2 linked regions of the Xenopus tropicalis genome follow. The protein of the gene in region 1 interacts with the protein of each later gene in a biochemical or structural test. Links are inferred from orthologs where the notes say so. Each region holds a gene or a part of one and is shown on either strand. Other genes may lie near its edges.

Region 1 (6,661 bases):
CCCAGGAAACAAGGTTCTACTGTGCCGCTTCCAAAAATGAATCATGGTGAGGACTGGACAGAAAAGGAAGTTGAGCGTCTTTACAAGTAAGTAATAAGAACTGGTTTATTATTTTAATGGTTATAGATGGTGGTATGGCAATCTCTTCTTTTCCCTGGGCTGGTGCTCCTTTAAGCGGGGAAAAAAAGTATGAGTGGCTAAAATGTTGGCACCCTGTCCCCAAGTGAATTAGTCTTTCCTTGTCCTTCAATATTTCACTCCCTCTAGAGGGGGAGTCTGCAGGTTTTGCCTTGGTGTAAGCTTTGAAATCTTCACCATATATTAGATTCAGATGGGTGGTGGAATACATCTGCAGATTTGCTCCTTTGGGTCCTGTCAATAAATTTAAGGGGAAATAGAAAACCCTACTATCGATAACCATTGTAACGGTAAAGATTATTGCATTACCTTTATTATATGTGTCATTGTTAATCTTCATTCTTAAAATGTATACCTATGCCTACACTTCCAAAAAATAAACTCTTCCTATTAGTGGTTGTATTAATCTGCATTTGATATTTAATCCTTTGATCACCTTTTTCCAGGGCAATATCTTCTCTACCAAAGCATAAAAATGGATTCTGGGTGGAAGTGGCTATGTCTGTAGGCAGCCGATCTGCAGAGGAGTGTCAGGAGAAGTACCTAGAGAAGCAACAGTCAAAGGGATCTAAAGCTCAATCTAAAAAGAAGTCCGGGTCCAGAAAAAAAGAACCAAAGGGTAATAAAATAATATTTCAGTATTATGAGCAGTATATATATGTATATATTGCATATAATTAAAGAGATATCATGTATTGTATTGTATTGCACACCCATAATTCAAGGTAGCTGTCTGGGTATACTAGAATACTTAAGAAGTCGTCTGCAGAATAGATGATTTTTGTCTAATCAAAAACCAAAAATATGCATTAATTTAGATTTTTCATGGTAAACTGATTTGTAAATGTAGTCAAGTTGAAAGCAGGTTTTTGTTTATCCTTTTCTGTTCTTTGGGTCTGACTTTGACATATTTGGGGTATATTTTATCAAAGAGTAAAACTGTCTTGCCATAGTTCTTCACACACTTAATTTCAAAGGGATTTTTGAGGTGTTTTTATCAAATAGTGAACTCTTAATCTTACTTATAAAAGCTGCCAACAGACAGAGTTGGCAGTTTATCAGCCCATGTATGGGACCGTCAGATGGGCCTGTCTGACCGATATCCAGCTGAAGATTGGGCAGATGTTCATCAGACAGGTTTAATAATCCTGTTGGGGCAGGGGCACATTTGCTCATTGATGCAGTCCTCGCCCTGATGGCCTTCATCCCATCATTGTGATCTAATCATTTGGCCTGAGGGCTGATCGATCAGATCAATCCAGTATGGCCCACCTCAAGGTGAATCTTTCAGTGTATGGCCAACTTTACTTTAAATATTCCATAATAGAGAGCAGTAAATTTCCCTATGACGGACTGTGGTGAGCTCTCATTGAACTTATAAACATGCACCGATGCACTTGCTTTGCAAAATATAGCATATAAAGAAATGATTAAACAATATAAAAAAAAAAATAGTCATAGACAAAGCCCACCATGGTTTAATAAAATATAGTTTGTGCTAATAATTTTTTGTCAAGTAATTTCTGTGCAACGTCCAGTAGAGGGCAGTGTGCAGTTTCTTCTATCTGAAGGCAGTATGTATGTATAACTATTTATAAAGTGCCACAAGGATACGCATCGCTGTACAGTCTTACAGAATACAAAATTACACACGGGGAGGACAAATGATATAATAAATAAATACAATAAATATATATATATATATATATATATATATATATATATATATATATATATATATATATATATATATATATAAAGTGCCATGTGGTATGAGACACAGTAGGAAGGAGGTCCCTGCCCCGTAGAGCTTACAGTCTGAGTAGGCAGTAGGAATAGGCCAGTAGAACAATAATCTGGTTTGGTTTACTAGTCATGAGAAAGCTTTGTAAGGTTTGTCAGTATCTGGACCCCCCTTCTAATTAGTGGAATTGCCTATTTTAGCCATACCCATTGCCTACCCAGTAGGCACTCAGCCTGGTACTTAGCATTCAGTCACTTTAAGATGCCTTTTGTCTGTAGCAGGGAGTGGCTCAGAGGAGAAGCTAGTGAAAATAACAGCCAAGGTGGGAACTCTCAAAAGGAAGCAGCAAATGAGAGAATTTCTGGAACAAATTCCAAAGGATGACCATGATGACATTTTCACTGCTACACCATTCCAGACCAAGAGAGTGAAGGTAAGGGAAACACACTTTTGCTAATTAGCCTTATTCCTTATAACAGGTCAAAGGACAATGGCACTTAGTAAGTTATTGATTGTACAGACTCTGATTGTAGAAAGATTGATGGACTACAATAACAAAGCAGCATTGTTGTGCTTATTTAGGGTAGATTTATTAATGTTCAAGCAATCAATTACTGTAACCACATGCGAGTTCCTGAACACGTGTAGTTTATGTATTCAAATATCTCAGCTGCCTGATGATCATTTTTTTCTTCCCCCGAGCAGATTTTTAAAAAAAATAAAATAAAAAGCTCAGCAGGTTTTAGGTGCTGGGCTTTTTATTTATTTATTTTGAAAAAAATCTTATTGTAAACACTTTATTACTGCCAGTGATCTGCTTCCAACCATTTGAAGCATTGCTATCAAAATGACAGGGCTGCAGGTTCTTGCAAACTTTTGTAAGTACAGGTATAGGACCCATTATCCAGAATGCTCGGGACCAAGGGTATTCCGGATATGGGGTCTTTCCATAATTTGGATCTTCATACCTTAAGTCTACTAAAAAATCAATAAAACATTAATTAAACCCAATAGGATTGTTTTGCATCCAATAAGGATTATTTATATCTTAGTTGGGATCAATTACAAGGTTCTGTTTTATTATTACATAGAAAAAGGAAATCAGTTTTAAAATTCTGAATTATTTGATTAAAATGGAGTCTATGGGAGACGGGCTTTCCGTAATTCAGAGCTTTCTGGATAACTGGTTTCCGCATAAGGGATCCCATACCTGTACTAGAAAACACATTTTTTTCCCCTTAAGTCCCCACGCTCTATAACTTGTGATGCCGCAGCCTATGCAGCATTTGATTACCAAAGATATAGTTCAGCAACAAGAAATGTTCTTCCCATAAATCATCTATTGCTGACTCTGCATTATGTACTTTTTACACACAGTTGCCAACATTTAGAGCAAGTCATGAAGACGATGTCTTCCAGCTGACCAACACTGACCCAACAACACCTTCTTCAAGTATTTTTCCCTTGGCTTACACCCCCCAGTGTGAGCACATTAGCCCAGGAATGCTGGGGTCCATAAACAGGTAAGCTTTTAGATTCCATCTACCTTCACATGAGATTCACACTCTCCCAAACCACTGAATCATTTTCTCATGTTTTGTGTTCTTTATACAGGTCAAACAATGACAAATATGTGTACAGAATGCAGAAAAACACCAAAGGAGGTGCATTATCAGGATGGGGAAAATTAAATAAAAGACCTGTAAGTGTTTACATGTTCCCTTAAGTTTTAGTGTTCTTCTGGGTGAGATGATAAATGTTCTGCCTCCCACACTTAAGGTACGGTAAGCCTGTGGTGCTGGCCCCCTTTGGACCTATCATTAGCATGAAATGTGTTTGGGGGATGTAGGTGGCACAGACATCATTACTAGGAGTATATCACAAACCGGCATGTCTGGTGTGGGAAAATTATCCTCACTTGTTGGCATAATAAAAAGTGCATGCATACCCCTGGTCTCTAGACCTATTAGAACACAATGACACCTGTTTCAGTTCTTCTTTCTAGAGATTCCACATGTTGAACGAAGGTGTGCGCGGTACAGAAGTTGCTAAAAAGGCTTTGTATTGCTCATGTGCTGCCAAGCATGGCACAGGCTTTCCCTGGGAATAATAGATAAAATAGTGTCTCTGAACTCTGCAGAACTTACCTTAGGCCGTGCATTTTTTAGGAGTGCAAGACCAAGGAGCGAGGTTAGCAATACTTTTTATTTAATCTAAACCAGTGGCTCGAGAGCAACATGTTGCTCACCAGTCCCTTGGATGTTGCTCAAAACAGGTGCTTATTTTTGAATTCCTGGCTTTTGGGCAAGTCTTGGTTGCATAGTTGTACTGCCAAACAGAGCCTTATGTAGGCTGCCAATGGCTAATCAGAACCCCTATTTGTAACCCCAGGAACATGTTTCATGCTTGCGTTGCTCTCCAACTCTTTTTACATTTGAATGTGGCTCATAGGTAAAAAAAGGTTGGGGATCCCTGATCTAAACTTTACATTTTTCCCCATATTCAGGCTGGTACTTCATATGCCACTCCAGTTTCTCGACGGGCAACAACAGTGAGCAAAGGTACGTAAAGATTTGTTATATTGGTGCAGAGATTCATCCTAGGGTGCACAGTGTGTTAATAAGGCTGTGTTTATGCTTCATGATTATGTGCTTATTTTTGTCCCTATCAGACAAAGGCTGCAAAGATACATCAGTCATTGGAAAACTCTTTAGAACAGATGAACCAACAGTATCAGATGATGATGATGAAGAGGACGACTTTTATTTTTCTAACTCTCCATAGGCACAGTGACAATTTGAACCCTACTTTTCTTGTCAGGAACAAACTGCATTTTATTGCTGATCCTGCCTACTGGAACACTGTTGATTTCAGTAGCTACAAAAAAATGTTCTATCCTTTTAAAAGCAGCAACCATTGTACACATGTAAAATGTTCAGCTGGGATTTATCTAACAGTGTATGTTTTAGGAATAATTGTTGAATAAATTGGCAGCTATGGAATGAACTTCTGTTCCCTGTATATAAAAAAAAAATTATACATTTTAAAGTGTGCATAGTCATTTGTTCATTGTTTTACTTACCCTTAATCCCCAGTTTCCTGCACCTTTTGTCTAAATATATTTATCTATGCACATATCAGCAATTTCTTTAAGCTTCTGTTTTTTTTTTTTCCCTTTTTTAAATAAAAGTGTATTTTATTTATTCATATATACTGTTGGTTAAGGTTATCCCATAATATCAGGGGTCCCCAACCTTTCTTACTCTTGAGCCACAGTCAAATGTAAAAAGACTTGCAGAGCAACACAAGCATCATAAAAGTTCATGGAGGTGCCAAATAAGGGCTAAGATTGGCTATTAGGCAGCCTCTATGCACACTATCAGCTTACAGGGGGCTTTATTTGGTAGTAAATCTTGTTTTTATTCAACCAAAACTTGCCACCAAGTCAGGAATTGAAAAATAACAAGCATGCAGGTCAGATTCAAATGCAAACTACCTGAACAGTTATGTCTAGTTTCACTGGGTAAAATTTCATTCAACACTGTGTAACGTGCAGAATGATGGCCTTATTAAAGTAGATTCTAAATGAATTATAGCATTGAGTTAAAAACATGCACCAATTTTGAGTCGAGTGATGCATCTGCTGAGTTCTAAACACACTAACATTTCCACAGTTGTCAAACAAAGGCTTTGTGGTGGGTCACCTACCATGGGAACCTCAACTGAGCACCCAAGGGCGTCACTATATATACTTATCCTAGTCCAGCTTGTGGGTCTCGGTGGGAAAGGTCATAAATGCTGAAAGTTTAGTAAAAGTGTCAGCATTCAGGGGCAACTGCCACTTTTAGGCTGTGACAGTATGGAGGCGCCATGGTGCATTCCTAAAAACTTGCTGAGAACAGTCTGCCAAGTGCTGTGTGATATCTTCAATAGCAATAGATCAATGGTATTTGCCCATCCATGCGGATTGCTAATTTACACGTACCCATGGTTTGTAAACAATGAATAAGTTTCAACAGGTTACAACACCTTATTAAGTGCAGAAACTAAAGGTAAACTATATTATGTAAACTTAATATAAGGTTCATCTCATGAAAATAAACTTTTGAAATATAATCAAAAATGTTGCTATTCCTGATATATTCATTATCTCCCTCTCGGCAATCTGCTTTTCTTCATGCAGGAGTCAGGGTCAGATTTTAATTGACATTTAGGTCTAATGCAGCTTTTTGGGGGGGGGAATCATTTCTTCTACCAGATGTATTAGAGAAAAGTCTGGCTCTGACTTCTGCATGAAGAGAGACAGATACAGAATGGAATCTAGGGAAGATTATTACAGCAATAGTACAGCATTTTAAAGCATTATATTTAGAAAGCTTATTTCAAGTGAGCTGAAGCTTATATTTTCAATTTTGGGTTAGTTCCCCTTTAAAGGAAAAAGTGCTACCTAAACAAAGCAATACCTCCTGCCAGAGCTATGTCCCCCTACAAGTACAGAACAAGAGGAACCGCAGTGTCAGGAACCCACTGCTCCTTTAAAGGTGTTAGCACCACTTTATTGCCATTTATAAAAACTTACTTCCTGCTACAGGTATTGGACCCCTTATCCAGAAACCCATTATCCAGAAAGCTCCTAATTACGGAAAGCCCATCTCCCATAGACTCCATTTTAATCAAATAATTCAGAATTTTAAAACTGATTTCCTTTTTCTCTGTAATAATAAAACAGTACCTTGTACTTGATCCCAACTTAGATGTAAATAATCCTTATTGGATGCA
Region 2 (7,723 bases), on another chromosome or scaffold:
GGGTTGGTACCCCTCACAACAATAAGTAAACGTATGTGTTCTCGCCCATATTAAGAGGAGAATGGTGAGAAAAGTAAATCTATCGATTCCTATGTTTGTATAATATAGGAGAGATTTGGGGTGAACACTTAAATGACGGTTACCCCAACATTTTCCTATACCTGTAACCTTGTTATGAGCTAAGGGGTGGGAGCACTTAAAGGGAACTTGACCAAAAAGTCTGTAAACCCCTGCTTAGTACTATGTGTGCTTTGTACAGTGTCATCCCCATTAAAGGGGAACTGCACCCAAACACAACCTAAACTTTTGAAAAGTAAACAATTTCAAGCAACTTTGCAATATAAATTAATTACAAAATATAGATTGTAAGCTCTACGGGGCAGGGACCTCCATCCTCTTGTGTCTTTGACTCTTAACTTATTGCAACTATATCTTTTATTTATTTGTATTTATTGTTATACTTTGTATTTATCTATTATTATCTTATTAACCCCCTGTTTGTATGAATGTATCCTACTGTACAGCGCTGCGTATATAAGTAGCACTTTATAAATAAAAATATACATACATACAAATACGCAGCCTTTTCATGATGTTTAATGTAATAATATGGTTTGGAGCAGTTCCCTAAGCCCCGCCCCCTGTTCCCCTGCTGATCTGGCTGACTACTTTGTGACTCAAATAAAATGTAACAGTAGTCGCCTGTCCCTCAGCCTGCCTTCAGCCTGCCTCCTCCCAATCCCACAATCCCCTGCACACGTGATGTCAATAAGGAAAGGAACATCACAGTGCAATGCATTGTGGGTTATGTAGTTCCTGCATGCTGTCTGTAAGCTGTGGAGAAGGTACCATTACCTTGCCCTTACATGAGAGTCTCTTACCTGTCAACGGCATCGATATTAAGGGAGAACAAATCCCGTTTGAAGTCGAGGTGCTTGGGGGTGCATCTGTAGATCTTGCCCATGACAGAGGAGCAGCCGCCACAGGATACGGTTTCAAATGTACTAAGAGGATGAAAGCCCGGCATTAGCGTCTAAAACTGCTAAAACCTCTGAAACCACTACAAATAGAAAATGACTGAAATGAACAGAGGCGCAATCTGAGTAAATTTACATTCATTTATTTGTTGGGGTTTAGACCCCCTTTAAAGTGAAACTGATAATTAGCAGGATCTGTGTCCAGAACTTTTTTTGGCGAAGGTCAATCTGGATTCCGATAGCTTTCAGGCCTCCTACTCCTTCAGTGTGGAACATACATAGTGCTTAACCCCACAATCAAGATGGTTTGAGCCTCAGGGATCATGGGCAGGGAGAGAAAGTTCATATGGGGGTTCTGCACCCCTTCAGTTACCCCAAAAACATCATGTCTGTCTGCCTGTCGCTGAACACTGACGGACATCTGCTTCCTATTTCCTCTGTTATTCCCTGCGGGATGTATTGTTTACAAACACTGAAGCCCATGTAATTATCAGCTCAGGGGTAAGTGGGTTGGCCAAAGCCAGGGGCATTAGGAGGCAGGAAGGCAGCCATATCTAATACAATAAGGAGAAGACATCCAAGTACTGAAGTGATTTTCTAGCTGGGACTTCAGCACCTTAAGAGACTAGGGACAAAGTGTTTCAGTCATGCTGCAGGGCAATAGGATTTACGGATTTAACACACTGTAATGTCAGTGTCAGAATTGGCCTCTAACAAGTGTTGGGCGTAGGGAACGGAGGCAGATCCTGGGTAACATATCCATTAATCATAAAGAACTGCCCCAGAGTGGGCATCGCAGGAGGGGTAATTCACATGGCTAAATGAATAAAGGGAATGGATATAAGACATGTAAAGCCAACAATAATGGCTGATAATGAGAAGCAGGAGCCATAACAACAGGTATAAATGCTCCATCATTAGGTGGAGTCGCAACCTGATAGGCCCTACAGCCAATCAAAATCTGAATAGCCCTGCTTGGTTTCCATGGGGATGGGAATGCCACTAGAACAACATACTTACCAGCCATAGTCACTGGAAACCTTCGAGACGATCTGCACTTTATCCACCGAAACGTATTCAGATACAGCTGCAAGAGAACCACATGCCGATCAATTCAGTTTTTAAAAATAAGGAAAGAAAAATCAAAAGTCCCAATAGACCTTTAACAGGACATGATGCTGGTCACATGGTACACTCAGCGGTCGTTAAAGGGGACATACTGCGTGGAAAACAATATTGTGCCAATGAATTGTACTCATTAACTATAGAAGGAATGTACTTTAAAAAGTAGTGTTTCAAGTTGATTTACTAAAAATTTCTTTAAAAACCCCATTAGTCCCGCCCATCTGTTCCTCTGCTGCCTCCTTTCCCAGGCTGTGCGGGGGGGCCGGCAGCTCTCAGTACACTGCAGGACAGGAACCAATCAGCAGCCAGGCTGACCTGATAGGGAACTGAAGCCTGTCTTTGCTTTAAAGGAACAGTAACACCAAAAAATGAAAGTGTATAAAAGTAACTAAAATGTAATGTGCTGCTGCCCTGCACTGGTAAAAGTTGTGTGTTTACTTCAGAAAGTCTATAATTTATATAAATAAGCTGCTATGTAGCCATGGGGGCAGCCATTCAAAGGAGAAAAGGCACAGGCACATAGCAGATAACAGATAAAACACTATTGTATTCTACAGAGCTTATCTGTTATCTGCTATGTAACCTGTGCCTTTTCTCCTTTTTTCCAGCTTGAATGGCTGCCCCCGGGGCTACACAGCAGCTTATTATATAAATTATAGTAGTGTTACTGTAGCAAACACACCAGTTTTACCAGTGCAGGGCAACAGTGCATTATATTTTTATTACTTTAAAGCTCTTTCATTTTTTGGTGTTACTGTTCCTTTAATCCTATATGTCTCCTTTAAATTGCATACCCACATGGAGCCCCTCTAAGATCAGATGCAGCCCCTAGATTTTACAGACGCCACCCTGGAGTGTTTGAGTGCTCCCTGCAGATTGTATAGACACAAATAATTCTGTACACATGTATAGTGTCAACTAATGAACCCTCACACCTTCAATTACACATCAGCACAATATTGTCTGAGAAGTGCAAAGCTTTAATCCTTTTCTATTCTCTGCACTGCTTGCCTGACTACAGAAACAATGTAGCACAGGGGTCGGGAACCTTTTTGGCTGAGAGAGCCATAAACACCACGTTTTAAAATGTAATTCCGTGAGAGCCATACAATATGTTTAACCGCGGATGCTGCGGGGAAAGGTAGGGTGGATCCCAAGGATGCCGGATGCGGTGCAGAGGAGGGCGTGGCCTGCGCTCGGCGAATAGAAGACGTGTTCTAAGGCTTAGAATACTCTTCTACCTGCCGAGTGCAGGGGCAAGGTAGGGTGGGTGCAAAGGATGCCGGATGCAAAGCGGAGGAGGACATGGCCTACGCTTGGCGGATAGAAGACGCGTTCTAAGCCTTAGAACACGTCTTCTATCCGCCGAGCGCAGGCCACACCCTCCGTTATTTTTTTATTAAAGATTTGGCAGCGAGAGTCAGATGCAGCCATCAAAAGAGCCACATCTGGCTCCCGAGCCATAGGATCCCTACCCCTGCTGTAGCAGAACCATCTCTCCTCCAGCCAAAAGTTCCCATAATGCCTTGCATGCTTCTGAGCTCACCCTCTCCAGTCTGCTAATGGCAGAATATACAAGGCAATTTTGCAACAGGAGGCCGGGATGGAGGAGAGCTGACTAACCATATAAAACTCCAAAAAGCCAGCAGTCAGGACAAGCGTATTTTAGCCACTTGCTTTACAGCAATAAATAACTTTAAAATCATTAACATTGTCATTTAATGTGCAGGTAGGCAACTCCTATAATGAACTCTCTGCAATGCTTAGTAGGGCGTTAAAATGTCAAATATTAAATTAAATGTGTGGTCAAAAGAAAGAAACAAAGTGGGGTACTTGGTGACTTTCTGCTGCTGCTGCAGGTCTAGTATTAGGGACACTAATAGAACATGGTAGCACAGCGACGCCTAGTGGCAGAGCGCTAACACTGCACACAATAGAAACAGCAGAACCAGTAACCCCGCATAATAAAAACCAAGGTCCATTTTCCCCATTCAGCACCTTTCAGTAGTATTGTCTGCTCCCCCATGTCGCTGCCCATCCAGCTGTACGTGTCACCTATCGGCCTCTTGCAATGGCTGCAAAGAAACACGACCGGCGGATCATCCTGTGAATTAGATAGCTTCCCCGCGTTTTCATTTTCTCCCCCATAGGTACAATTGGCGGACATTAGGCTCGCATTCTTATCTGCCGCCATTTCCATTCAAGCGCAAACCGGAAATGACGTAGCGCACCGAGCAGCGCTCTGATTGGATAGTCTCCTGGAGTTGCCCGGACGTTTACGTTTCTTTATGGTGTTTGATAAAAAATACCCACAAAGACCAACCCATAGATATTGTGTGATGATTAAAGATTCCCTCATACAAAAGTTTTCCAAGAAAATGACCATTGTACCTATGCACTGTTATGTACCTCTTCAATAAACTTACCTGAGTAAAAAAAAAAAGATTCCCTCATGTTGTTGGGAGTATATTTATGGGGAACTTTTTATTTCTAAATGACACTGTTTACATAGCAAATAATTCCCTCTGCCATTTAAACTTTTATTCTTGAACCAACAAATGTATTTGTAGCTGTAATATTGGTGTGTAGGCGCCATCTCAGTGCCTTGTGCCTGAGTCTGAGCTTTCAGCCAGCGCTACACATTAGAACTGCTTTCAGCTAACCTATTGTTTCTCCTACTCCCATGTAACTGGAGGAGTCCCAAGCCGGACTTGGATTTCTTACTATTGAGTGCTATTCTGATACCTACTGGGAGCTGCTATCTTGCTCCCTTCCCATTGTTCTGCTGATCGCCTGCTGGAAGGGGAGGGGGGGGATATCACTCCAACTTGCAGCACAACCGTAAAGTGTGACTGAAGTTTATCAGAGCACAGGTCACATGGCTGTGGTACCCTGGGAAATGAAGAGTATGGCTAGCCCCATGGGAAATTTCAAAATTAAATATAAAAAATCTGTTTGTGTTTTTAAAAAACAGATTACAATGCAGGATTCTACTGGAGAAGCTCTATTAACTGATGGGTTTTGAAAAAAAATATATTTTCCCATTACAGTATTCCTTTAAAGCGTCCCACATCCATATTGGGAGTGACAAGCTGACAAGCTTTACCTAGGGTTGCAACCTGGCCTGTAAAAATGATGCTTGATGCCAATATTATTAATAGGCAAAAAGAGCAAATACAGTATATAGGAAGGTCAGTATTTTTTCCAGAAAAAAATTACAACTTTAGGTTTACCTTTTGAAGCCACTTCTGTCTCATTGGTCCCCCAGGTTGTCGATCAGGATGGGTGACACCTGCGATCTTGAGCTAGGGTTGTCACCTGGCTTGTATTTTACCAGTATAGCCGGTAAAACACCCGGCAAGGCCGGGAACAGTGCATTGCCGGTAAATGTGTAATATCTCTACATTTAGCCCCTGTGCCACCCACCTAAGCTTGTGACCCAAACCAACCTTTTGTCACCCCCCCCACTCTACTTTTAAACCACCTGTCGTTATCATAGCTCTGCCCCTTTTGACAGCATCCATATCCCTTGTCATGCTCCATTTACATCATGGCCCGTCCCATTTTGTCCCCACTCCCAGCCACCCATATTGCGTTCCACCTGCGTTGGGCACTTACATGCACCTGTGTTAATACAGCCCCATTAGAAAGAATGGGATGCAGGCCCGGACTGGCAATCTGTGGATTCTGGCAAATGCCAGAGGGGCTGCTGTAAGATGCCATAGACAGTCACTATTTAGTGGGGGGGGGGGGGGCCTGTTTGGGCCTCTGTGTACCTAAAATGCCAGGGCCTATTCTGAATCCCAGTCCAGTGGTGATGGGATGCGTCTCTTCCTGCACTCTCCTGCATTGGAACACATGAGAATGCCATAACAGGAACAAATACTCATGAGTAGGAGCCCTAAAAGGGCTTCAAAATAGATATAAACTGCTCTTACAGCCAAATAGGTGCCTCTTTTCTTAAGGCCAGGGCAGTAATAACCAAGGGTAACTTGAGAACAGAAACCAGGGAGGCTGCATGGGGTATTCTGCAGACACAAAATGCTTTCCTGCTGGCCTGGGCCTGTAAAATACAGGCAACCCTTGTGTTCACTAGGGTTTTTTAAGTGATTTTCTACAAATAATGGGTGGAATGGCCTGAAACCTGTAGGTTTTGACCAAAAATCTGGTGCATGTTTGGGCAAGTGATAGGCAGATTTACAGCAGGGTCTCTCCCAGTTTGCAATATATATACCAACCCCTGTCTCCATGCAGTTCATTGGGTCAGACACAGTTACTAAAATGGTCTCTAGGAGCAGATTGGGTGTGCCACGTGGCAAGCAGCACATTGGAATTACCAATTCACCCATCACTATCTTCCAAGCCTCTTCTATACCATTCTCCTCTCTGTGATGCTTTAAGTTGATTTGAGTTTGAATAGATTAAATCCCAGCCCTTTTTGTCAGATTTTGACAAATCTTTCGCTCTCAGCCGAACACTTAACCTTGGGTAAGTTCAAAACTCAATCTTTTTAGACTAAAAAGATATATTGTTTCCCTTTTTTATTGTTTCTTCTGCTAGGCATTTGTAGCGCACCCAGTCCTTCAATGAGCTAAGCTTGCATGTTTTCTTTAGATCCTTATCTATTCATACTGGGGGCCTGGGGCAGAGCCAATAAGCAGCCAGAAGTAAGGGGACGGATTGCTATACTCTGGTGATAAAATAAAAAACAGCTTATTCAGCTTGTGCTTATCCAGATGATAGGAGCTGCTAAGCCGTCACTCATACTCACTTGCACCCAGCTGGTAATATCTGGCACTAGCTCTGCTCACAATGCAATGATGGCCGACACCGGTAACGTTTCCTACACCTACGAAGACTACTACGATTATGAGGATTTCGCATCTTTCGATGAAAGTGAACCGAGAGCAAATAAATGTGAGTATGTGCCGTCTCCCCCTTAGGCTATTGCTATTTCTCTTATTTATGTTTCAACTAAAGAGACACAATAATTTCAAAAAGTGTTGTGTATTTGTGCCCGAAACATTGTGTAATAAGGTACAGCAGTTGTCTCTTACTTTATGGCTGAGATTCCTGCTATATTTGTAAAGGCATTCTGAATACAGAGGTCCAAGATTTTCATCAGTGCAGAGCAAAGCACAAGGGGGGGTGTAGGTGCTCCTAGAATGAGCACTAAGGGGTGCGCTTTTGTGTCCCTCCCCCCAGGTTGTACATGACCCCTATACAGGTTATACAGGCACTGCGACCCACCACACACCCAAAAACGGAACCAGCCATGACCCCAAATGGGAACATAATTGTAGGCTGTTCTAGAGCTAAGAAGCAGGATATTGTTGGTCAAGTTTCAGTTTGTTCTTATAGTGAAAACAAAGGTCCAACTGTGTCTTTATTTATCTCAATTCCAGATTCCATTGTCATTGCACTTTGGGTCGGCCTTGCAATGTTTGTTGTTTTTCTGTTCCTTATACTGCTGTACATGTCCAGGACTGTCGCCAGATCAAAGTAAGTAGCTATTAAAGGGTAACTGTTCTTGAATTCCCTGTGCATGTTCCTAACTATTATAAGAACAAAAACATTGACATTTAATGAATGTATATTGAATGTTTTATTTCTTTATACAA

Evidence for each region. The genes of interacting proteins can lie anywhere in the genome.
Region 2: the proteins of mis18bp1 (region 1) and mis18a form a complex in vitro, tested with the Homo sapiens proteins (2 studies listed by BioGRID). The link is inferred for Xenopus tropicalis from reciprocal best matches to the Homo sapiens genes MIS18BP1 and MIS18A.

The regions. Positions count from the first base shown.
Region 1 is NC_030684.2:92,708,870-92,715,530, reverse strand, and holds the end of mis18bp1 (mis18-binding protein 1), read left to right. Parts: coding exon 1-86; intron 87-584; coding exon 585-757; intron 758-2,160; coding exon 2,161-2,315; intron 2,316-3,259; coding exon 3,260-3,405; intron 3,406-3,496; coding exon 3,497-3,584; intron 3,585-4,388; coding exon 4,389-4,443; intron 4,444-4,553; coding exon 4,554-4,666; 3' UTR 4,667-5,091; downstream 5,092-6,661. UniProt on the Homo sapiens protein: Required for recruitment of CENPA to centromeres and normal chromosome segregation during mitosis.
Region 2 is NC_030678.2:15,373,697-15,381,419, reverse strand, and holds the start of mis18a (protein Mis18-alpha), read right to left. Parts: upstream 4,359-7,723; 5' UTR 4,303-4,358; coding exon 4,101-4,302; intron 2,065-4,100; coding exon 1,998-2,064; intron 1,005-1,997; coding exon 882-1,004; intron 1-881. Other genes in the region: mrap (melanocortin-2 receptor accessory protein), read left to right, coding at 6,839-7,019, 7,508-7,604. UniProt on the Homo sapiens protein: Required for recruitment of CENPA to centromeres and normal chromosome segregation during mitosis.